Linked DNA regions of Ovis aries. The protein of the gene in region 1 interacts with the protein of each later gene in a biochemical or structural test. Links are inferred from orthologs where the notes say so. Each region holds a gene or a part of one and is shown in the gene's direction. Other genes may lie near its edges.

The links.
Region 2: the proteins of NOXO1 (region 1) and cytochrome b-245 light chain form a complex in vitro, tested with the Homo sapiens proteins (3 studies listed by IntAct). The link is inferred for Ovis aries from reciprocal best matches to the Homo sapiens genes NOXO1 and CYBA.
Region 3: the proteins of NOXO1 (region 1) and NOXA1 form a complex in vitro, tested with the Homo sapiens proteins (2 studies listed by IntAct). The link is inferred for Ovis aries from reciprocal best matches to the Homo sapiens genes NOXO1 and NOXA1.

The regions. Positions count from the first base shown.
Region 1 is NC_056077.1:2,057,601-2,065,263, reverse strand, and holds NOXO1 (NADPH oxidase organizer 1), read left to right. Parts: upstream 1-2,519; 5' UTR 2,520-2,650; intron 2,651-3,309; 5' UTR 3,310-3,393; intron 3,394-4,577; exon of another isoform or gene 4,578-4,754; 5' UTR 4,755-4,829; coding exon 4,830-4,895; intron 4,896-4,983; coding exon 4,984-5,067; intron 5,068-5,226; coding exon 5,227-5,302; intron 5,303-5,397; coding exon 5,398-5,578; intron 5,579-5,701; coding exon 5,702-5,883; intron 5,884-6,000; coding exon 6,001-6,114; intron 6,115-6,312; coding exon 6,313-6,430; intron 6,431-6,529; coding exon 6,530-6,782; 3' UTR 6,783-6,969; downstream 6,970-7,663. Other genes in the region: GFER (FAD-linked sulfhydryl oxidase ALR), read right to left, coding at 220-382, 1,277-1,473, 1,741-1,992; TBL3 (transducin beta-like protein 3), read right to left, coding at 7,093-7,202, 7,281-7,439, 7,523-7,594. UniProt on the Homo sapiens protein: Constitutively potentiates the superoxide-generating activity of NOX1 and NOX3 and is required for the biogenesis of otoconia/otolith, which are crystalline structures of the inner ear involved in the perception of gravity.
Region 2 is NC_056067.1:13,433,332-13,440,828, reverse strand, and holds the start of cytochrome b-245 light chain, read left to right. Parts: upstream 1-3,133; 5' UTR 3,134-3,184; coding exon 3,185-3,242; intron 3,243-6,508; coding exon 6,509-6,578; intron 6,579-7,010; coding exon 7,011-7,085; intron 7,086-7,306; coding exon 7,307-7,390; intron 7,391-7,497. Other genes in the region: MVD (diphosphomevalonate decarboxylase), read left to right, coding at 1-216, 398-513, 1,261-1,369, 1,800-1,880. UniProt on the Homo sapiens protein: Subunit of NADPH oxidase complexes that is required for the NADPH oxidase activity that generates, in various cell types, superoxide from molecular oxygen utilizing NADPH as an electron donor.
Region 3 is NC_056056.1:551,320-557,993, reverse strand, and holds part of NOXA1 (NADPH oxidase activator 1), read left to right. Parts: intron 1-1,313; coding exon 1,314-1,396; intron 1,397-2,182; coding exon 2,183-2,291; intron 2,292-3,319; coding exon 3,320-3,454; intron 3,455-3,731; coding exon 3,732-3,839; intron 3,840-4,608; coding exon 4,609-4,665; intron 4,666-4,902; coding exon 4,903-4,946; intron 4,947-5,384; coding exon 5,385-5,511; intron 5,512-6,668; coding exon 6,669-6,674.

The DNA.
Region 1 (7,663 bases):
CCCTGCCTCCCGTCGATAGCCTCACAGGCCCACAGTGAGGAGGCCACCACTGAGGTGCCTGCATCGGGCTCCTCCACTTCTCCTCTGAACCGGAGAGGGAGAGGGTTCCCAGGGCAGGGTCTGGGGACCACCCAACGGAGACACCACCGGCTCTGTGTGTGATGGCACTTTAATGAGCCCCGCCCCCTCTGGCCGGGCCTCCCCAGGCTCAGCCGCTGGCTAGTCACAGGAGCCATCCTTCCAGCCGTCGCGCCAGCGCTCGTCCACCAGTGAGCAGTCGAAGTCTGGCTTGCCCAGCTTCCGGTTCACCTCGTTGTGCAGACGGCAGAGCCACTGGGTGAAGCTCACCCGAGTGCGCGTGTCTGGCTGGTCCCTGTATATCCTGCGTGAGGGGGAGCACGTGCAGGAGGGGGCAGGCTGTGCTCCCAGCATGCCCGCCCCACCATCTTCCTGGCTTGCCCAATCCAGGGAAGAGAGCTGGGGCCTAGATTTAGGGGTGCCCTCATGCTCTGAGGAATTCCCAGAAGGGAGCTGACCCTCCAGCCTCAAGTCCCAGTTGACTCTTAGGCCTGCTCCAACCCCTACCTAGGGCACGTGGCAAACCCTGACAAGAGCCCCGGGCAAGACATTAAGGCACAAGGTCTCCACTTTACAGCCTCATAACAATCAGGAGGCCTCACCCTAGCGTCCCTGGCCCCAGGCAGCGTGTGGAGGGGCAGGGCTGGAATAAAGGCCTACCTGAAAACCAGGTCTGCTTCTTCACACCTTTGGCCCTACCACACCACCTCAGCAAGAGACCTCGTATAAATAAATGCCCAGGCTCCAAACAGCAAGGGCTGCCCTTTTTACCCCACAGCCAGCCCAGAAATGCTTATGGCTGCCAAACAACAGTTCTTGGGCTCCCCAAAAAGGTGGCTCTTGGAAGCAAAAGCAGTGAGTTCCCAAGGCCTTGAAACTGAAGGTCCTGCTCCAGAAGCTAGACAGAGTGGAGTCCCTGGAAACCTGCCAGAGTCTTCATCAGTGCAAAGCAAGGGATCTCATGAGAGTAGCCCTCCCGGGGAGGGAACTCCGTGGTTGCAGAAAGCAGCAGCCCCCAGCAGCAGCCCCAGGCCTGGCCTTTAAGGAGAAAGGCGATGGCTCCAGAATCCCTCCGCTGTTGGTGGTCCCTGCTCTAGACAACCCGCTGCCACGACGGCCTCTACTTCTCTAGGCTCCCCTTTATGGCATCTGCCAGGGGCCCCAGACCCAGGCTGCACACTCTGCAGACACGACTCACCTTTTCCTTATGTCTTCGGCACACTCTTCACACGGGTAAAACTTGGAAAATAAATGTATGAACTGGGCCATATCCTGCTGTTGCTCTGGGGTGGGCAGGTCGGGGTAGTAGGCAGCCAGGGTATGGAGGACAGCCCAGCTGTTGCGGCCCAGTTCCTCGCGATCCTGAGGGCAATCCTCCCTAAACTTGCTGTCCCGCTGTGGAAGGAGGCCGACCAAGGGTCAGTTCGGTTTTCCCCGACCAGAAACCTACAAAGTTCCCTATTTTTTTTTTTTCCGCCCCAGCCGGAGACCCACTGACCGGAGAAAAAGTCCTGGGGCCGATCCAGCCCACACATGGCCAAGAGCCAAAAGGCTGGGCCTACCTTGGGGGCACGGTTAGGAAGCGCCGACCCCCGGGGAGGGGGCGGGGAGCCTGTCCAGGGTGCCCGAGGACAAGGTGTGGGGGCCCCCCTACGCCTGCACCTTCTGCTGCGTGCGCATCCACGACTTGAAGTCCACGCAGGCCCGGCAGGGCCACCGCGGGGAGGCGAGCTCGGAGGCCGGAGGGTCGGACGCCGGCCCCGCGGATGGCGCCCGGGCCGAAGCAGCGGCTTTTCTCCCACCCGCGCCGCGGCCGCGCGCGTCCGTCACCAGGTCGTCCGTCACCTCGGAGCGCGCGCCGCCAGGAAGGAAGATCCCAGTGCCGAAGCGGCCGCGCTCGCTGGGCGCCGCCATGCCGCCCGCGCAGTGCCTGCCGGGCCAGCGCAGCCGCCACGACCGCAACCAGGCGGGCTCCAGGCCAGCGCGCGCGCCGCCGCCGCCAGAGCGCGACCGCAGAAGCCGGGCGCGCGCGCCGCGGACGCGGAGCTGGGCCCGGGGGCGGGGCCCGGTGCGGGGGCGCGGCTGGCGGCCCGGGTCCGCGCCCCGGGAGATGCAGGAGTGCGAACTGGGGACGCGCCGGAGGCCCGAGCCGCGGTTTGCGCGGCGCCGGAGCGCCGAGCCTTAGCCTTGCGCCTGGGCCTCGTTCCACCGCCCGAGCCGGTCTTGTGTCGGCCGTAGCACAGCTCCCGCTTCCTCGAGTATGTCACTGTGTTGTGGATGACGACCCATGGGAGCGACGCGGCTTCGGGCTGCGGCCTTCTGGACCTCCGTGTTGAGGCCCGCGACGGCCTCATCGCTCCGCTCCGACCTTCTCGCGTGCCTGCGGCTTGGCTCTGTGCCCTCCGCTGGGGGCGCGCCCGGGACCGGTGCTTGGCGCCTGGGCAATGCGGGGCGGGGCTGTGAGCGCACAAAGGGCGGTGCAGCTGAAGGTTCGGCGAGTCCGCCTAGGCGACCGGCGCCATCGCCACGGGTGCCCGCCTAGGCTGGGCGGGTCGAGCCTGCAAAGGAGGAGGTGCGTCTCTGGACTCCGGGGAGCACTGAGCAGCCCCTCTCCTCTCTGCTCAGCCCCACAGCCTACCTGAAGGGGTTAAACCCAGGTGGGGCGTGGTCTCAGGGATACCACTGCTTCCATATGTACTTTAATTCCACATGTACATTAATATGCACATTAATTGATTCTGCAAATACCTGTGTAGTGCCTGATCTGTCTTTAGCACTGCTCTAGGCTCTGGACAGGGCCAGGAGCAAGATTCATTCCTCCCTGACCTCCTCAGTCTAGTGGTCGAGACGGAAAAAACAAGAGTCACACTAATAAGTGTTTAGATACAAGCTGTGATGGAGGCTATGAACAGGGTGTGTTAAATCTAGGAGGCCTCCTTGAGGAGTTGACCTTTAGGCAGAGAGGCCTGAAGAATGAGAAATCAGCTGAGGAGGGTTGTCAGAGCCAACGCAGGAGGGAGGAGGAGCTTGACTTCCTGCATGGGCAGAAAGGCCAGTGTGGGACAGGACCTGGGAAGGGTGGTGTGAGCAGAGGTCCTGAGGTGGCCAGGAGCCCACTGAGGACACCATCAACTGACCCAGGAGCTGGGGATGTGTGCTGAGGACCCTGGGACAGTGCTGGGAAGTTTGGGGGAGGGTACCCTGGCCTGATCCCATTTCGGTTTTGCATAGATTCTTCTGGAGAGTGGATTTCACGACAGCAAGTGAGGACCACAGGCTTTGAGGGGGGAGCATGGAGCTGTTGTAGTGGTCCAGGTGAGAGGTGAGGGAGGGAATGTGGAGAGTGTGGAGAGCATCTCAGTTGGGGGGGGTGGGGAACATGGGTCAGCCATGCAGGGAGGGGCTGCAGCGTCCTTCTAGGTCCCTGGCTGTGAGCACACTGGCCCTTCTCCAACTTCTCTGTCTTCCAAGGGAGCAGGAGCCGTCCCACTCTGTACCCTACCAGGCCAGCGGCCCCCACTGAGATTGCCAAGAGTGTGACAGCTGGACTGAAGGCACTTTGTAAAAATTAGGCCTGTGTCCACAGGTGTTCATTGCCTGGGCCAAGACCCGGGGAGGTTTGAAGGCTTCAGAGAGCGCCTCTGGCTGGACAGATGCACAAAGGCCTTTTGTCAGGCCGGGGTGGCTTCCTGACCCCTCCCTCCCTCCAGGGCTTGGGTGGAGGAGCTGGGACTGAGGCCCACCTGCCAGAGTGTGACTGAAGGAGGAGGGGAAGGGCTGTCAGAGTGCCGCCAGGCTGGCCGCCCCTCCCAGCTCTCAGAGGTGTGGGCGGGGGTAAGGAAGAACCCCTGTGCGCCAGGTTTGGATGGGCTCTCGGCTCCCCTGTAAGGCGGTGGTCCCGAGATGTGGCCCCCGGGCGCAACGTCTGGGGATTCTAGGGCCTTCCCTTCAGCGCCCCAGCCAGTTGGGGGAGGGTCACTCCTGACCTCAGAGGTTGTGTCTGCAGCGCACTGATAAATCATGAATTCAGAGGTGATTCTCAGAACAGTCCTAGCCATTCCCAATTCCACCTCACTATTCCCAATGCTAGTGACTACAGATGGACCCTCTTCATCCTGCTGCAAGCCCCTCCACCACAGCAGGACCTGTGGGGTGGGCCTGTGAGGTCTGCCTCTCCCCAGCAGATGAAGAAACCCTGACAATATATGTTTAACACAAACTTCCTCCTCTGCCATTTGGGGACATTAAGAGACCTTTCCTCCAATGTGAGGATTAAGCCAAACAAAGCACTTAAGAGCCTTTAATATTTTCCTGGTGACGACTACAGTCAGCTCAGGGACAGAGCCAGGGGCACACCAGGCCACTGGGCGGCTCTGCCCAGCCTGGGCACCAGCAGGGCGTGGCGAGCCGGGAGGGGTGGCCTGGCGGTGCTCTAATGGCCCTTCCTTCCCCTCCTCCCCCCACGCTCACACTCTGGCAGGAACCGCCCCCCCACCGTCACTGCTTCCCCTCCTACCCGGGGAGCCCCATGCCCCTGCCTCCCCAGGTGAGGGGTGCGGCAAGGAAGCGGGGAAGGCCCCAGTCAAGGGCAGGGTGGTGCAGCCAGGACTGGGGCACTGCTGGGGAATTCCAGCCTTCCGGGTGCCCAAGGCCTTCCCTCCTACCCCCATGGGCAGGGAGGTAGTGGGACCCGGGGTCACGCCCAGCAGACTCCCAGAAGTCCCTCACGGAGATCTGGGGAGGTCACCAGGATGGCGGGAGCCCGGCACCCGGTGTGTGTGAGTGGGGCAGCTCTGGTGCAGACAGACAGGCTCCAGGTAGGAGCCCATGGGACCCCTGCCAGCCCCAGAGGAGGTGGGGGAGCTCCTGGCCCAGCGCCTCCAAGACGCCCCCAACCTCCCCCAGCAGGCGTTCGCCTTCTCCGTGTGCTGGTCCGATGGCAGCGACAGCTTCGTGCGCAGAAGCTGGGGGGACTTCAGGAGACTCCACGTGAGTCGGCCACCCGACTTCCCCAGCAGCCTGACCCACGGGAGACCACCCACACCCTGCCCTTGTGCCCACTCAGGCTTTCAGCCAAGGGACCCCTGCCTGCCCTCCCAGGGGAACCTAGTGGGCCCTCGGAGACCAATGATGCCTCTTCTCGCTCAGAAAACCCTCAAGGAGACCTTCCCGGTGGAGGCAGGCCTGCTGCGGAGATCTGATCGCGTTCTCCCCAAGCTCCCAGGTCAGGCCAGCAGGGATCCAGGAGGGTGGGGGCGGCAGCAGTGGGATGTGAGGAGCCTGGGCGGGGCTCCCACAGCTGCCCCGTCCTGCCCGCAGCTGATGCACCCTGGCTGGTGCTCCGAGGCCGCACCGGCCGAGGCCTGGCCCGCCTGCAGCTGCTGGAGGCCTACCTAAGGGCGCTGCTGGTGGCCGGGGAGCGTGTGTCCCACAGCCCGGTGCTCACTGGCTTCTTCGAGCCACAACCTCTGGACTTGGAGCCTATGCTGCCACCCGGCAGGTGCCTGCCCCGAGGACGGGGGAGGAGTGGTGGGGAAGAGCCCACAAGTGGGAAGGCTTGGAGGCTGGACGGGCCTGTGGGAGACACCTGACACCTCTCCCCTGCACCCTGGGCCCTCACCAGCCTGGTGATCCTGCCCAACCCGCAAGAGCCCCCGCCAGGCCCCCCAGGCAGCCCTGCCATCCGCACCCTGGAGGCCCAGAGCCTGCGCTGCCTGCAGCCCTTCAGCACGCAGGACACTCGGGGCCAGCCCTTCCGCGCTCAGGCCCAGGAGGCCCTGGATGTGCTGCTACGACACCCCTCAGGTGGGCTGATGCCCCGCAGGTGGGCTGGTGGCAGTCAGAGGGACAGGCCCTTCAGCCCCTGGGATCCCAGCGGGCTGCAGGAACTGAAGACCCCACCCGTCCCCCTCTCGGGCACAGGCTGGTGGCTAGTGGCAAACGAGGACCAGCAGACGGCATGGTTTCCTGCTCCCTACCTGGAGGAGGCGGCCCCACACCAGGGACAGGATGGGGGACAGCCCCTGGGGATAAGCGGTGAGACTGACCCTCCTCCCCACACCCCCGCCGTCATGGGGCAGTGTCCAGCACGCGCTGGGGGAGAGGCGCCACGGGATGGCGGGGGCGACGGTGGCCCTGCAGTGTCTGCTTGGTCCCACTGGGCTTTAGAAGGGGTCTCTGGTATTGAGAGAAACCTCTGAAGCCCCATGGTGACCACCCAGCGTCTACCCCCAGGGCCCCAGTTCTGTGCTGTCTGCGCCTATGAGAGCAGCCGGGCTGATGAGCTGTCCGTGCCCGCAGGGGCACGCGTGCATGTGCTGGAAGCCTCTGACCGAGGCTGGTGGCTGTGCAGGTGTGTGGGCTGGGGCTCCGGCAGCCGGTCTGGTGCGGCGCGGCGGGGCGGGGTGGGGTGGGGCGGGGCCCAGAGCCAACCAAACTCTTCGTCCTACAGGTTCCGAGGCTGCACCGGTCTTCTCCCAGCTGTGACACTGCAGCATGATGGGCTGGGCACCCTCCTCAGCGGGCCGTGGCTCCACCATGGGGCTGATGGTGCAGAGGGCGGGGAGGGCAAGGCCCATGGCTCCCCCAGGTCCCCCCAGGCCGTGATGCTTCCGCCTCCTGTGCCTGCTCGGCCGCCTCTGAGTGCCATTCAGAGCCGCTGCTGCACCATCACCCGTAAGGCACTACGGCAGGGAGCCCCCTGAGAGAGTGTGGCTTATCGTGGAGGGCGGTGCTGTGCACCCCAGACCCCAGGGATCACCCCAGGCTCCAGAGCCCAGGGATGACGGCTAACAGCCACCTCAGCCTCAGGGCCATGGGAGGAGCGGTGGAGGTGGGGCTTGCTGGGCCGCATGCCCCTGGTGTGCCCTGAGTAAAGCTCTCCTGACTGACCGTGCCGTGTCTGTGTTGAAGGGCAGGTCTGGGGGTGGGCCACCTGTGGCCCAGGACCAGGGGGTGAGATGAAGTCAAGACAGACACAAGGAGCCAAGACAGCAGAGTCCGTGTTTCTGTGTTTCAGAGGGCCGCGGGGGCCGCGGGGAGGGTGGGCAGCTTCATGTTGTGCCATAGGAAGTCCAGGAAGGTGGCTGCCTGCAGCGTCCGGCTGAGCCGCTGGAAGTGCCGCTCTGGGGGAGGATCGCAGGCTGTCAGGGGTGGCCGAGTGTGGCAGACGGCCCTGCCTGCCCCCCGGCCGGCCCACTCACCAGTGTAGGGCAGCAGGCCCTCCAGCGAGGCCCGTACACCATCGTAGGCCAGCAGCTCGTCCGGGGCCTCATGCCGCAGCAGCACGCCCAGCACTGCCTGGGCCTCGTGGCAGTGCCGCGAGTTGGTGTTCCACGTGACGCAGAAGCGCAGCAAGGCCTCTGTGGACAACGGGCACAGTCACACCTGCCCCCATGCCCCCAGCCTCACGAGGCCCCATCCGGCCCCCCTGCCCGCCCCAGACCTTTCTGGTCACGCCGCAGTTGGAGCACCGTGGTCTCTAGCTTCTCGCAGGACTCGGGGTCCCTTCGGATGGCTGCGGGGGGAGGGGAGGTTGAGCCCTAGGAAAGGGGCAGCACAGACCCCAAGAGACCCCCCCACCCTG
Region 2 (7,497 bases), on another chromosome or scaffold:
CGGGCAGAGGCACTGGTGCCGGCGCGCATGGCCGAGATGACCCGCTGCATCAGGGAGCGCGACTTCCAGGCCTTTGGCCAGCTGACCATGAAGGATAGCAACCAGTTCCACGCCACCTGCCTGGACACCTTCCCGCCCATCTCCTACCTCAGTGACACATCCCGGCGCATCATCCAGCTGGTGCACCGCTTCAATGCTCACCACGGGCGGACCAAGGCAGGTGCGGGGCTGGGCGCCCCAGGCGGGCTTCATGGAGCCTGCTTTGCTGGGGGCTGCGTCTCCATCTCACTCTCATTGGTGGCACAGCCCCCATGTTGGAAAAACTCCACTCCCACCTGAGTGGGTGGCCTGTGGGTCCTGGAAGCTGGTCTGAGCCCATCTGACCGCCCGGTTCCAGGTGGCGTACACTTTTGATGCGGGTCCCAACGCCGTGGTCTTCACGCTGGATGACACCGTGGCTGAGTTTGTGGCTGCCGTGAGGCACAGCTTCCCCCCTGAGTCGAACGGAGAAAAGTGAGTTGCAGGTCCCCATCCAGGAGGCTGTGGCGGGCAGCAACCATGAGGACCACAGGCAGTGTCCCCACACGCGTGCCCATGTGGCTGTGGATGCTCGTCCACTTGGCCCAGCCCCAGGGGCACATGCCTGTCTCTGGCGGCTCCTGTGATGATGAGGGCGTCTGGATTTCTCCCTCCCAGCTGTTTAAGGGGCCCTGTTCTCATTGTGGGGACACTTGACCCGCTAGGGATGTGAGAAGCGTCTTTTTATCTGTCACCCTAAGGAGGCAGTGAGGCTTCTGGTAGGTGGAGCTGAGTACTGCTCCCACACTGCGTGGGATTGGCCCCACCATTGAGGACGTAGAGGCTCTAGACTCATTGCCCTGGTTACCACGGGGGTGGTTTGTAGGATTAAGCTTGAACTGAGGCTGTTTCTTAAGCTGTCTCCCCATGGGGCACGGCAGCATGGTGGGCCAGGGCGAGGGGCAGTATTAGAGCCTCGTGGAGGTGTCCTGAAGCCCTCCCCTCAGAGACAGCCAGACCCTGGCTTTCTCACTCCAGGTGTGCCTGTACTCACCATTTGACCACCTCGAGGTGTGCAGCCCAGTGGCATTAAGAACAGGCTGAGCACCCTTGTTCATCAGCCCCAAAGGCCCTGACCCTGCTGGCAGTCACGGTTCCCAGCAGTCCTGCATCTGCCTGCACTGCACACCTCCCACCCCTGCCGTACTTAGACTGCAGTCCAGCCCTGCCTTCTTCCCCCAGGTTTCTGAAGGGGCTGCCCGTGGAGCCCATCCTGCTCTCAGATGAGCTTAAAGCTGCGCTGGGCATGGACCCTGTCCCTGGCAGCATCAGATACATCATCGCCACTCAGGTGAGTCCTGGTTGCACACCACATGCGCCCTGCAGGCTCGCCCCAGGGCATCCACAGGAGGGCCAGTGAAGTAGCTGTGACCCTGCTCCCTGGTTTCACAGCACCTAGTGTTCCCCTCAGTCACTCACAGAATATTTAAGGACTGATGGATGCCTGTGGTGTGCAGGGGTGGGGCTGGACTGTGGTGTACCCTCCAGAGCAGGTCAGGGTCCTATCTGACTCCTAGACCTGTGACCTATGCTCTCCAGGCCTTGGCCTCTGCCGACCGCTCCAGACTTGCTATCCACTCCACGTCTGCCCAGAGGGACTGAGCCTCTGCCTGAGGATTGGGCCCTGGGCCCAGCATCACCAGGGTGTCTGACCTGCCTGCATTTCCTGGAAGGGCAGGTGCACCCTGTCCCTCCCTGATGATAATTTCTTAACCCCACAGGTGGGACCCGGGCCTCAGGTCCTGGACGACCCTGTCGCTCATCTCCTGGGTCCTGACGGTCTGCCAAAGCCAGCTGCCTGACCACCTCTTTGATGGGGCCCGGCCGCCGCTGGGAGAAGGGGCCGCTTCACTGGGATTGGGAGCCGGGTGTGGTGGTCAACAGGCCACGCTTGTTGGGATTTGTGGGTAACTGCCTGCTCTGGGCCAGGCCATGTGCTGTGGCTGAGTTGGGCAATGGATGACGCCTGCAGCCACCCAGATGATCAGGGGAAGCCCCCCCAAGTGCCTCACCTTTCCCTGACCTGCACCCAGCGCTTGCTGAGATGGGGACCTGGACCCTGATCCAAGACCAGGGGACTGAGCCGGCAGGGAGCTGCTGGTGCATCGATCATGAAGGGCCCTCAGGCCCCGGACTCATGGGCACCCCACTGCCACAGGAGGTGATGGCATGTCGGGGTACCCCTCAGAGCTGGAAGCCGGGTCACCGTGCAGGGGACGACCTCAGGACAGCTCCATGAAGTGCTCCCTCAACTCTGAGCCCAGGCCCCTGAGTGGGTGCAGTGTTGTGTCTGCGGGACAGAGGAGCAGTGCCAAGGCCAGAGTAAAGGCAGTTCGAGGACTCACCTGGCCTGGTGTGCTTTCTTCAGCCCTCACCCAGGGGGCTGGGCGGGCATTGTGGGGGGTGGGGCTGGGGCCTCCCCGCCATGCCTGGGATGCTTAGCACAGGCCACAGCCACACAGTGGTGGGTAGACGTGGTCACTAAGGCCGACAGGCTGGGGAAATGGTTCGGGTTTGGCTTTAAGCTCGGTCCACATCCCCCTTCCAAGTGAGTTCCATTCTTCTCCACTGTCCTAACCCAGCTGGGGGAAGAAGGGGGAGGGCTTCTGAGCCCTCTGACCTTGACCCTAAAAGGGAGTCCAAGGAGGGAGGTGACAAAGGACAGGGCCCAGCACTGCTACATTCTGGGTTCTCCCAGAAGCTTCCCATACTCACCCGCCCTACCCCCCCAAGTTAGTCCAGGGTTACCAGTGGGGCCAACACCACCACACCTGCACTAGCCCAGGGCCGGATGCGGCGGGCCTCCCAGGAGTCTCCCCAGGGGCTGGCCTGAAGCCCTGCTTCCCCTCCAGGGGTCCACCGAGGCCGGGCTGGCTGGGCCTGCAGGGGAGGAAGACCTGAGGTCCCGTGGAGCGAGTTGGGGGCAAGGCTCCTGAGACCCCAACCTGCAGCCGGCCTGTCACCTGGGGAAGCGGGTTGGGGCGGAGCCGGCGGCGGGGCGGGGCGGCGCCGGAACTTGGGGAACTTGGGCGGGGCGGGAGGCTTGCTGAGCTCTGGGGCCGCGGGGTCTGAAGAGTCCGAGCCGCGTTCGAGCCGATCTGCCGCCATGGGGCAGATCGAGTGGGCCATGTGGGCCAACGAGCAGGCGCTGGCGTCCGGCCTGAGTGAGTGGGGGGCGCTTTGCACTTGGGGCGGGGGCTGCAGAGGGGCTGCTGAGCCTGGGGGCGGGGCGCCGCGGCAGTGCAGGGGGGCTCTGGGGCTGGGGAAGTAGGGGCCTGGAGACCCCAGGCTGCGAGAGGTAAAGGGGAAAGGGCAGGCTGGAGAAGGGGCGGGAGCAGGGGTCCTGAGGAGCCAAAGACACCCGGCTGGAGCCTGGGGTGGGGCCCCGGGCCCGGAGGCTCCAGTGGGCGACCTACAGCGCCGGCGGGAAGGGGGCTGGGGGCCTCTGTTGGGAGCAGGGGAGGGGGATTCGGGGCCCTCCTGCCCCTGCACCCCGTGCACACCCACACCCCCATCCTCTGCCCTCTTCTCCACCCCCCACACCGTCCCCTCTCCCCTCCCCCGCACACCCTCTTCCCCTCCCCCTCTCCCTCGCCCCCCCCGACACACACAAAAGAGGAAGTTCAGTCTAGGGAAGAAGCGCTTGCCCCCGGGGTTTCCGGAGAACTCACCGCCCAGTAGGGCTGGGAAAACCCAGCATGACCCACCCCTGCCTGGAGTGACCCTCCTGCCCTGGGGTGGAAGCTCCCTCCCCTAAGGCCCCTGGGCTGCGGAGGTGGGCTCTTCCTGCCTCCTGGCCAGGCTTGGTCCATGGAACTGGGTGACCGCTCTGTCTCCCGGGGCGCAGCCCTGAGTCTGCTCAGAAGGACATTGCACAAGGCAGCTGGAGACGACCCATGTGACCCCTCCCACCCAGCTCCCAGGGCCTGCTTCTGGGTAGGAAGGCGGCCGTCCCCCCTGCTTCCCCGTGCTCAACCGCGGTTGCAGACAGTGCTGTACGCACTTGGACTCAACTTCTCAGGAGAGGGTGGGGCTTGAGGCTTGAGGAAGCCCCCCGTGGCCCCGCCCCTCCCAGGAAGGCCCCGCCCCCAGTGAGAGTGGGCGGGCGGGAGGACCTGGGGATAAAGTGATGAGGAGGGTCTCAGCCACCGCGTCTCACCTGGGACCCACCCTGAGGCCCCCACCGCCAACCTGGGGACTGAAGGAAGGAGCCTGCGAAGCTGAGCTGGGGGTGGGGAGGGAGCACTTTAAGGTCACATTTTGGGGGTGGGCAACTTTGGGGTGCCAGGCAGGGCAGCCCCCTTCTGGCTTCTAGATGGCGGAGAACCCAGTGGGTCAGTACGTGGCTTTCCTTGCTTCTGCCCAGAGCTGTCTTCTCCCAGTGCTGTCTACCCCTCCCCATCACCACCGCAATGACTACTGCTTGTCTTCCTCCACAACCTTCTGGCTCTAAATTCCTCCTCTTGCTAACTCCTGACTCAGTACCAACACAGGCCCCACGAGCATCTCAGCCCACCGTCCCTTTATGTTATAGAGAATCGCATCTGATCAGATAACGGTCCCTCCATCTCCCACCACTCTGCCCCTGCCCCTCTGACCTCGGGGGCCCACCACCCTGGTGTTTGCCACAGAGCTGGCTCCCCCCGCTTCACCTCTCTGCCCACATCCACCTGCTCCGAGCCACAGCGCCTACCTCATTCACCATGATCTGAAGTGTCTGTCCACATCGAGAGACCCCAGGCCCCTCTGGGAGCTGAGACTCCTGCTAATGACGCAGGCTCAGGCCAAGGAAATTACATGCCCAGGTCGAGTGGACGAGCCGCTGCCTGAACGCAGGAGCGATGGCTCTTCCCCTCCTCCAGCACAGCAAGTGTGAGCATGACACCAGCAGAAGAAGGCCAGGGTTCAGGGGCTGAAGGGAGGGGTGGGAGGTCAGAGCTTTTACCTCGTGGGACTCTGAGGCCAGACCGGGAAAGGCTGTCTGAACAAGAAACAGATCAAAAGATCGTCCCCTCCAAGGAGTTGTGTTATCTGCCACCACAGCCTGGACGAAGAAAGTCACAAGTAAGACAAAACTGCTGGAAACTCAGGCCTGTGCTACACAAGGGGCAGGGGCTGCCCTCTCCCACTCTATGCCACAGGGACCACCAACGAAGAAGTTCAAGTCATCAGAAAGGAGTGCTGAAGGGTGTGCTCCAGCGAGGGCGAAGCTGGATCCAGAGGGAAGATGGCTATGCCACTGTGAAGACACTGACTGTAAATAATTAATAATTGTGGCTAATTTGGGGTGAGATTAAAGATAAACCTTCTAAAGTCCACATGTAGTTCAGGAAGAGGAATTTTAAAATTACAGTTTGATCAAGTCAGTAGAAGGCAGGAGAAGCAACAAGAAAAGCTGTTCAAGAGGAAACCCAAGTAAGATAACAAAGTAAGTTATCTGTAATCACAGTCAATAAAATGTGTCAAATTCACTATCAGATTGCTTAAAGGGTGAAGAGTTTAACTCTATCAGCTAATTCATAAAAGCCCAACGTTGGAAGCAACTGACATGTCCCAAAGGCAGGAGAATGCATAAATAAATTGTGGGAAACTACCCAATGAGACAAACAGCGAGCCAGAGCTCTGTGCAAACCACCCCAGGAAGGGCCTGGACCAACCTTCTGTCAGCAAAAGAAGAGCCCTCAGAAAACCTGGGATGGGGGAGAATCTTGATATGGGTGGAGGTCACATGGTAGGGGTCACACATGTTAAAAGTCTGTGCACTTTATGTCATAGTGATACCCCAGTAAGTGACTGGAACCCTGAGGATGGGTGGCCGTGATGGAGTGACAGGTGTGAGTGTGCATCACGCCCCTGAGCGGTGCACTGAAGCTGCCGCCGTAGAAGAAAGTCACTGGGGAGGAATGGGGCCGATGCACATGCTCGCGGCAGGTGGGCTGCGATCAGGTGCACACAGGGCTGGAGAGACCAGGCCCACCCAGACCCAGCATCGCACAGAGCACACGAACAGGATCAGCCCACACACCCGAGGCCAGGACCGAGGGTCCACGCAGCTGGTACAAAGTCAACCACCAACAGCGTGGTCCTTAAATGCATTGAGCAAATGCTCAGGGTGCCGTGGCTCACAGGCCTCGGGGGTGTGTCCAGGCTAGAGCCAGGCCCTGCCTCCCTCTCAGCAGCTCCTCAGCCCCCTCCCTGCCTCAAATGCTGCTCTTGGGGAAGGGTCCCAACCCCCATGCCTATAGCCACCCCCATCATCTACCAAGGTCTCCCCCGCCTGGGTCCCCTTCCTGGGCTAACATGGTGGCGGATATGGCAGCTCTGTGGTGGACTGTTGGCCCTCCTTGGGGAGGGGGCCCTGGGGAAGGGGCCAGAGCCCCTGCAGAGATGGGGTATGGCACCTACTAACCTCCTTCTCCTCTGCCCACAGTCCTTATCACCGGGGGCATTGTGGCCACGGCCGGGCAGTTCACCCAGTGGTACCTGGGCGCCTACTCCATGTATCCTCTTGCTGCAGACCCAGGTTGGGGTCGGGGCCAGAGAGGCTGCTGCCCCTTGAAGGCAGGAGGGGCTCCGAGCAGGGAGGTGACAGAGCCTGGGGGCCTCCCTGGCAAGGGAGGGAGGTGTCCGTGGCACCTGAGGGCTGACACTGAGGCCCGAGAATGCTCGGGGTCCCTCCGTATTCCCTTCTATCAGTCACCCTCCCCAGCTGGCCTGGCCTGCCCACCAGTGGACCGAGCCCCCCTTGTCCCAGCCAGTCCAGCTGTTACAAGCCCTCCAGACGCCAAGGCAGGCATGGGGGAGGGAGGCTGCCTTGTTGGAATCCTGTGGACTTCAGGCAGTGGCCACACCTCTCTGTTCTCTCATCAAAAGAGCCGACTCCCTGGGGCCTCTCAGGCTTGATCTGGGCTGTTCCTTAACCTGCGCTTCAGAGCAGCGGGTGTATTGGTCTGCCTGCTGGAGTACCCTCGAGGGAAGAGGACCAAGGGCTCCACCATGGAGAGGTGGTGAGTTTCCTACCCTGTTCCGGGAACCACCCCCCACCCCCACCAGCTGTCACTATGAGGAGCCTGTCACTCCTGTCTGTCCGAGGCTCCAGCACCAGCCCACTCAGGGTCTGCCCTGCCACTGAGCCTGAGACCCCCTCCCCTCCCCGGGACGAAGAACCGTGTGATCTGAGAGGCTGGGGCGGGTGGAGGGTGACATGGCCTGTCTCCCCCCCGCCCAGTGGACAGAAGTATCTGACCAGAGTGGTGAAGCTGTTTGGGCCCCTCACCAGGAACTACTACATCCGGGCCTTCCTGCACCTCGGGTGAGCACGCGCCCACTTGGGACCCCTCAACGCCACCGGCAGAGGACTGCTGGGGTCAATCAGGCCTCTCCCAGCCCAGAACCTGTTCCAAACAAAACCCCAGGTCC
Region 3 (6,674 bases), on another chromosome or scaffold:
AGAGCCAGATGTATGCACGGGCACACACACACACCTGCCTCTGCTGAGGGCCTGGCAGGGCCATCCCTGCCCTTCAAGCCTCCAGGTTCATCACAGTGGTGCACATCCCATGGGTGATGACAAAAAGCAGTAGCACCCTGCTCACTGCTTGGGTCCCCAAGGGCCCCCAGAAAGAGCCAGGTTCCCGCGTTGTCCAGGCCAACGGCGACGTCAACCGAAAACACGTCCAAGGGGCATGCCCTGTTGTTCCTCACATATGTGTTCGAATCTACAGTTATCTCAGCAGCAATGTCAGTGTTAAAATGTTATCCAGCAATGGGGATGTCACCCCTGGACACCACGGGGTCAGTGGAATGATGCCAGTCCAGTCACTACCTCCCCTAAACCTCGATTTAATCAGAAAGAGGGGACAGAGGTTCCAGGCCAAGGGTGTGCACGTTAAATTCTCCTCCACCCTAATCGGAGATGGAGTAGCAGAGGCATGTTTGTTGGAAAAATTTAAAAAGCAAATGGAACGGCTACAATCAATAAAGCTGACTTGGACAGGGTGAGGGGAGCTGGGGCTCCGTCTCTGGCAGGAGCCCCCCAAAAGCTCCTATCTGGCCACTCTATGTGGCAGGATAAAAGGGTTTCCCTTGTGCTGAGCGGCCACATCAGTGCCCGAGTGCTGACCCTCAGCCTCGGTCAGACTCAGCTCGACAAGCCCGCGCTCGGCCAGGTTTGTTAGAGCGGGGCCGTGACACCCTCCAGTTGCCTGTGTTTAACTTGGTGGCTGCTGGGTGCACTCCTTTTGCTTGCGTCTGCCTGATGGCTGCTGTCCTTAGGAACAGACGGCATCATTTCTGAGTTCAGTTTCAGGAAGAGCTGGGCTTCACACGCACATTAAGGCTTTCGTGCTGTTCTTCCTTCTGACTCTAATAGATGAAACGTGTGTCTTTTTGTGTGAACCACCAAAGCTAGGGCTTGAAGGAGACAACAGTCTTAACATAACTCCCTCCGTGGAGGTAACTATTATCAACGTGCTGGAGCGTTTCCTCCTCCTCGTGGTTAACAAGCTGGTCTGTGCCGCCATCTAACTACCCCCGAGCAGCCATCAGAAAACACCTGGGGAGCCCAGGCAGGTTTGCGTTGAAGCCGTGACGCCTGCGCCCCTTGGACCCAGAGGCCCCTGGGCAGGCGAGGGAGGCTTTCTCTTACAGGTGACGGTCATGTGGCCGACGGGCTTCCTTGACCCACTGCTGGGCATCCCCATCTGTGACACGGTGGTGACGGGGCTACAGGCCTGAGCAGTTCACAGACATTTCTGTCCGCAGGCATTTGACCGGGCGGTGACTAAGGACGCCTGCTTGGCTGTTGGCTTCCTCCAGCGCGGAGTGGCCAACTTCCAGCTGGAGAGGTGAACACAGACGTGCCCTCTTCCTTCTCTGACGGCCCTTCGTCTCTGCAGAGTCCTGCCTGTGCTCCTCTCTGCCCACGGTCACCTCCTCTGGCCAGCTCTCCCCGGGCTCACGTGGGGGCGTGTCTCTCTGTCCCCACGCCGGGCTGCACAGTGACCCTGGGCTCTGTTTGGAAGAGGGTCACAGACCGCTTCTGCTGGCTCCCCTCCTCCGTTCCTACCCCCTGGACTGCAGGGACGGCATGATTCTGCCCATTCTGCCTTCGGGAAACCCAGGGCAAGGCTGGAGGAATGGTGCATCCCAGGACTGGGCGGGGTTGGCGGGGGGTCCTCTGCCCACGCGGCTCTCTGTGCCAGGCCCTTCCCAGAGAAGGAATCAGAGCTGCAGGGCAGGCCCGGCGCCCACAGAAGGCGCTACACAGGGTGGGCGGGCTCTGGGGTCACCTCCTTCTCATCAGCCCGGAAGCCTGCCCCGGGGCAATGAGGATCCTGGTTGGGGTTGGGGCATCCAGCCGGGGTCGGGGTGGGGAGGCCTGTGGGACGGAGACCCCGGAAGCAGGCAGGGCACTCTGCACCCCGAGGTTCAGGAGAGGGCCTGCGGTGCAGGTGGAGGAGCCCACATGCTGCACAGCCCGTCTGTGTGGACCCCGTGTGCTGAGGCCTGCCGACCGCCGCTGCCCCCGTGCTGCAGGAGGGGCTGGGGCGGGGGCCGGGTCCGGGCCAAGGTGGAGCCCTTGCCCTGGGGCCGCCCAGGGCCCCCACACCAGGCTCCCCTACTGCCCACAGGTTCCAGGAGGCCCTGTCCGACTTCCAGCGCACCCTGGCCCAGCTGAGGGATAACACCGCTATTGACTACACCCAGCTGGGCCTGCGGTTCAAGCTGCAAGCCTGGGAGGTGAGTGTGCGGGGAGCGGGCCACCAGGAGGCCGTGTGGCTGGGCCCTGGGGGCTGTCTGTGGGCGGGCAGCCCGGGGGGTCCTTCCAGGGCTGGCCCCACCCTCTGGGCCCTGTCATCTTGTCACTGTGCAGGTGGGCCCGAGTTAAGTGAGGTGCTCCCTCTGGCCAGAGGGCCCCCAAAATCCCAGCAGGAGAGGGCAGTGTTGGAGGTCAGCGAGAGGTGGCGGGGTGGGCAGGGCGGGAGCTGGCCTGGCAGTGGGCCCTGGCGTCCCTGCCCTGGGCTTGGTGCTTGGCTCAATTCCTGGCCTCCTGGGAAGTAGCCGGCACTGAGAGAAAGGCTTGGGAGGTTCCCCCACCGCTCCCAGAAACAGGCCGCCTTGTAGCCTCTGGGAGCTGCAGTGTCTGGTCGGTCAGCCATGGGGGGAGTCCCACCAGGGTGGGCCAGGCCCCAGCCCTGGCCTGTAGGGCGGGGCGTGGGCTTGGCATCCGTGGCCCGGGCAGACCCGTGGCAGCGGGCCGAGGAGCGCACAGTCCCTGCAGAGCGTGGGGACGGGGCTGTCCCGGGCGGCGCTCCGTCCTCCCGGCAGCACTGGACGACTTGACTGCTATCCCCCAGCTCGGGCGGGAAGGGGCGGACAAGAGGCGCCCCTCAGATAGTGCCCCAGACTCTTGGGGGTTCAGGGAACAGGGCAGCACGGGCAGGAGGGGGTCAGGCCAAACTCAGGACAGGCGTGAAGGCTGAGCGGATGTTTCCGAAGACGGGAGACGGCCTGACGTTCAGAGCAGAGGAGAAGCAGTGAGGGCTGGTTGGCTCTGGCTGGGGGGTCCAGAGAGAAACCAGCCAGGCAGAGCCCACCCTGGGGCGGGAGCCAGGGGGCACCTGGAAGAGCCCCGGGCCACTGTGTCTGGGCAGCTCAGGGGCTGGACCAGTGCAGGGCCAGGTGCGGGGCCAGATGGTGGCCCTGCGGGGGAGGGGAACGCTGGACCTGCCATCACCTCGCCCCCCACCCGCACCCCCTGCCCTCAGGTGCTGTTCAATGTGGCTGCAGTGCAGAGCCAGCTGGGGCTCTGGACAGAGGCCGCCTGCAGCCTGGGGGACGCCATCTCCAAGGGGCCGGAAGGGGTCCGCAACGACCTGGACATCGCCCTGGGCCAAGTGCAGGTAAGGGACAGGCGAGGGGGGCAGGCGAGGGGAGCCAGGCTCCTGAGCTGACTCGGGGGGTCTTGCCAGGCCCACAGCCTGCAGTTTTGGGGCTCACATCCATCCAGCCCCCCAAGACTAACTATATGAGATAAAGAAAAGTCTGGAGGTGGGGGGCCTGTGTGCCCTGCGGGGGATGGGACTCCCACAGGCCGTGAGAGTTGGGGAGTGGGCCGTCCTGCTCTGAGGCTCCGGGCGGCTACCAGCGCTCAGGGCTCCCCTATCCGGCCCCCTCCAGAAACAGGTCCCCCTGCAGCCTCGGCAGGTCCCCAGGGGTGAGGTCTTCCGGCCCCATAGGCGGCACGTGGAGCACCTGGAGCCTGTGGATTTCCTGGGCAAGGCCAAGGTAAAAGGAGGCGGCTTCTCTCTGCTTGGGCCCAGGCCTTGGGGCCAGCGGCTCCAGCAGGCCGCAGGGCGGGCGGCCAGGCCCTGTTGAGCTCACATTGTCCGGAGCACTGGGGCCATCGAGGCCTTGGGGTGAGAGGGGGCACAAGGCTCCCGGGGCAGCAGTGCTCACGGGTAAGTCCTGGGACCTGGAGGCGGAGCTACTGAAAGCCGTTGCGCACCCCAGCCGGCCCAGCCCTGCCTGCCTCAGCCGCAGCCTCGCTCTCCTGGCTTCAACCTCGCCCTGCACTTCGGCCTCAGGGGGCAGGAACCTGGAGGAACAGGGAGGTCTGGCCTGGCCACCTCTGCCCAGCCCGGGGTCCGGGCAAGTGGCACCAGCAAAATCGCCGGCTGATGGGATGCAGCTTGCCCCAGGCTGGGCTGGTGTGTGGGGAAAGAGGGCTCCCTGTGCACAAAGGGAGGCTCACTCTGGTCTCTAGCTGTGGCCCGGGCCCTTGACGCCCCAGTCACCCAGGGCCAGGCACTGGGTGTCTTAGCTGGAGGGCTGCCTGGAGGAGGTGCTTCTGAGCTGCATTAATCCACCCACTCGGAGCCCTTGCCGCAGGATGTGGCTGTTGCTACGAAATAAGAACCTTCTAAAAGCAGTACTGAAAATAAGTCACACAGATAAGCCAGGCTCCGGCAGGCCCACCAGGCAGGCGGGGACTCGGGGGTGCAGGTGGGCAGCAGGCCGGGCACCGCTGAGGCGCCGCCCCTGCTGCTGCTCACAGGTGCTGGCCTCCGCCCTCCCCGCCGGCTCACACGGGGTCGCCCCGCCACAGCCACAGGTAGGCGAGCCGCCTCCCGCCCCCCGTGTCTCCTCTGGCGTTGGCAGGTCCAGGCCTCCTGGATTCTTTACCCTTAGGGGTGCCTGAACTCTCCCCGGGGCTCCCCATGTCCCTCCGATCTAAACTTAGGGGGTAGCCCATCCTGGTGAGAGCCGGTGAAAATCCTGCAGCCTTGCCCCCTGGCCCCTGGGGCTCCTGGGGGTCTGCGTCCTGAGCAGGAGCTGTCTGTGCCCACAGGTTCTGGACGTGCGTGGTGAAGCCAGGCCCAGGGCTGCTGCACGGTAGGAAGGGGTTGGCCTCCACTTCTCCTATCAGCAGGGGCCCTGCGAGGCCTGCCTCCTGGCCTGATGCTGGAGCTCCTGGGCAGACCCGCTGCGGCCACTCAGGGCCAGGGACCAGGGGCCAGTGTGGCCTGTCCCCTTTCCAGACTGTCCAGGGTCCCAGTGTGGTGGGGGGCATCCCACCTCAGTCAGCCCTCCCATCTGTCCTGAGCGCATCCTGCCCCCAGGGGGAGAGCCCACCCCCGCTCAGGCCGGGGGGGCACCAGAGGCACCGGTGGGGTGCAGCTGGCCACAGGCTGCAGGAAAAGCCATTAGACGCAGCCTTGCAGGCGGCCCTCTGAGTGGGGTGCTCCTCTCCAGCTCGGGGCTCTGCAGGCCCACCCCCCACGAGGCCTTGCCCGTGGGGGAGGCCTGGGAACGAGGGCCCCTCCCCTCCAGGGCCCGTGACACTGCCCCCGGCAGAGCTGACACCCCCTGCAGCCCCAGGACACCCGCTGACGTGGAGCTGGAGGTCAGCTCCGGCCAGGCTGGGCAGCACGACCACGGCACGCTGGTTACCCACAAGGTGGGTGAGCCCCGGCGGGGCAGGCAGAGGCCACAGCATTTGCAAGACCCCCGCCCCAGGCTGGGCTTGGGGATCAGCCCGAGCGGGGCATCTCAGGCCGGGCAGCTTGCCTCATCACCTGCTGGGGACAGGGCTCCGGCTTCCTTAGGCAGGCCAGGGGCCGGGTGGGAGCCAGCCGCAGCGACCAGATGCCAGGAGTCAGGGACACACGGACGTTCATAGGTGCCCCGCGGGGAGCTGGGGGTGCTCCCCACCCTGGACCCGGGAGGGGCTGCAGTGTGTGCCTCAGAGCCGTGAGGCTTCCGCCCCTCAGCTGGGGCGCCCGGCCTTCCTTGCTGGACGCGGGACTCTCCGAGATGCCCCAGGGGCTGCGTGCAGCTGAGGAGGGGTTGGCTCAGGCTTCTCAGGGCAGGTGTGCTGGGCAGGTGTGCCTTGAGGGGTGGCATGCCAGGGGCCGTGAGGCCGCTGTGAGGAAGTTAGAGTTAACCACAGAGAAAGCAGCCTCGCACATTCACGTTATCAAGGGGCTCGGGTGAGAACGAGATGGTCCTTCCCCCTCCTCATCCACTGAGGCCCGGCTCACTCGCTGGGCTGATCAGTGCTCTTGAAAGCCGTCGGTTCATCACTGCTGTGCTGAGCGCTAGGCCTTCCAGACGGAACGGCAGCAGCTCCCTGACTGCTTCCAGCAGCCGGTAAATCCTAATGCTTCATGTGCAAACAGCCCACTTAACCCATCCTGAAGTCGGGGTCTCCATCCGTGGGTCAGGCGGCCTGGGCTGGGGGCTCTGTGTCGTCCCGCCCGCAGCATGCCCAAGGCTTGCGGCCCTGACGCAGAGTGATGTCCAGCGGGTCCCTGGCTTCAGCCCCAGCCTCCCGGGCTGGTCTCAGCTGCAGCTGCCACCTCCTGGTGGGCCAGGGGAAGACAGCTCCGCGCCCACAGGCACGGCGGCCGGTCTGTCATCTCCGGTCACAGGGATCTGGTTCATGCTCCAGATTTACCCGTGGCAGGGCTGGGCTGGTGGCCTCCTGCCCAGCCGGGCCATCTTGCAGGCTGTGCCCCTCACCCCCCGGTCTGCTGGGCCCAGCAGATCCCCCGCCCCCACCCTCTGCCCGGACCTGAGGCCCAGCAGAGCCCCAGCTTGTGGCTTTCCTTGCAGAGTGCC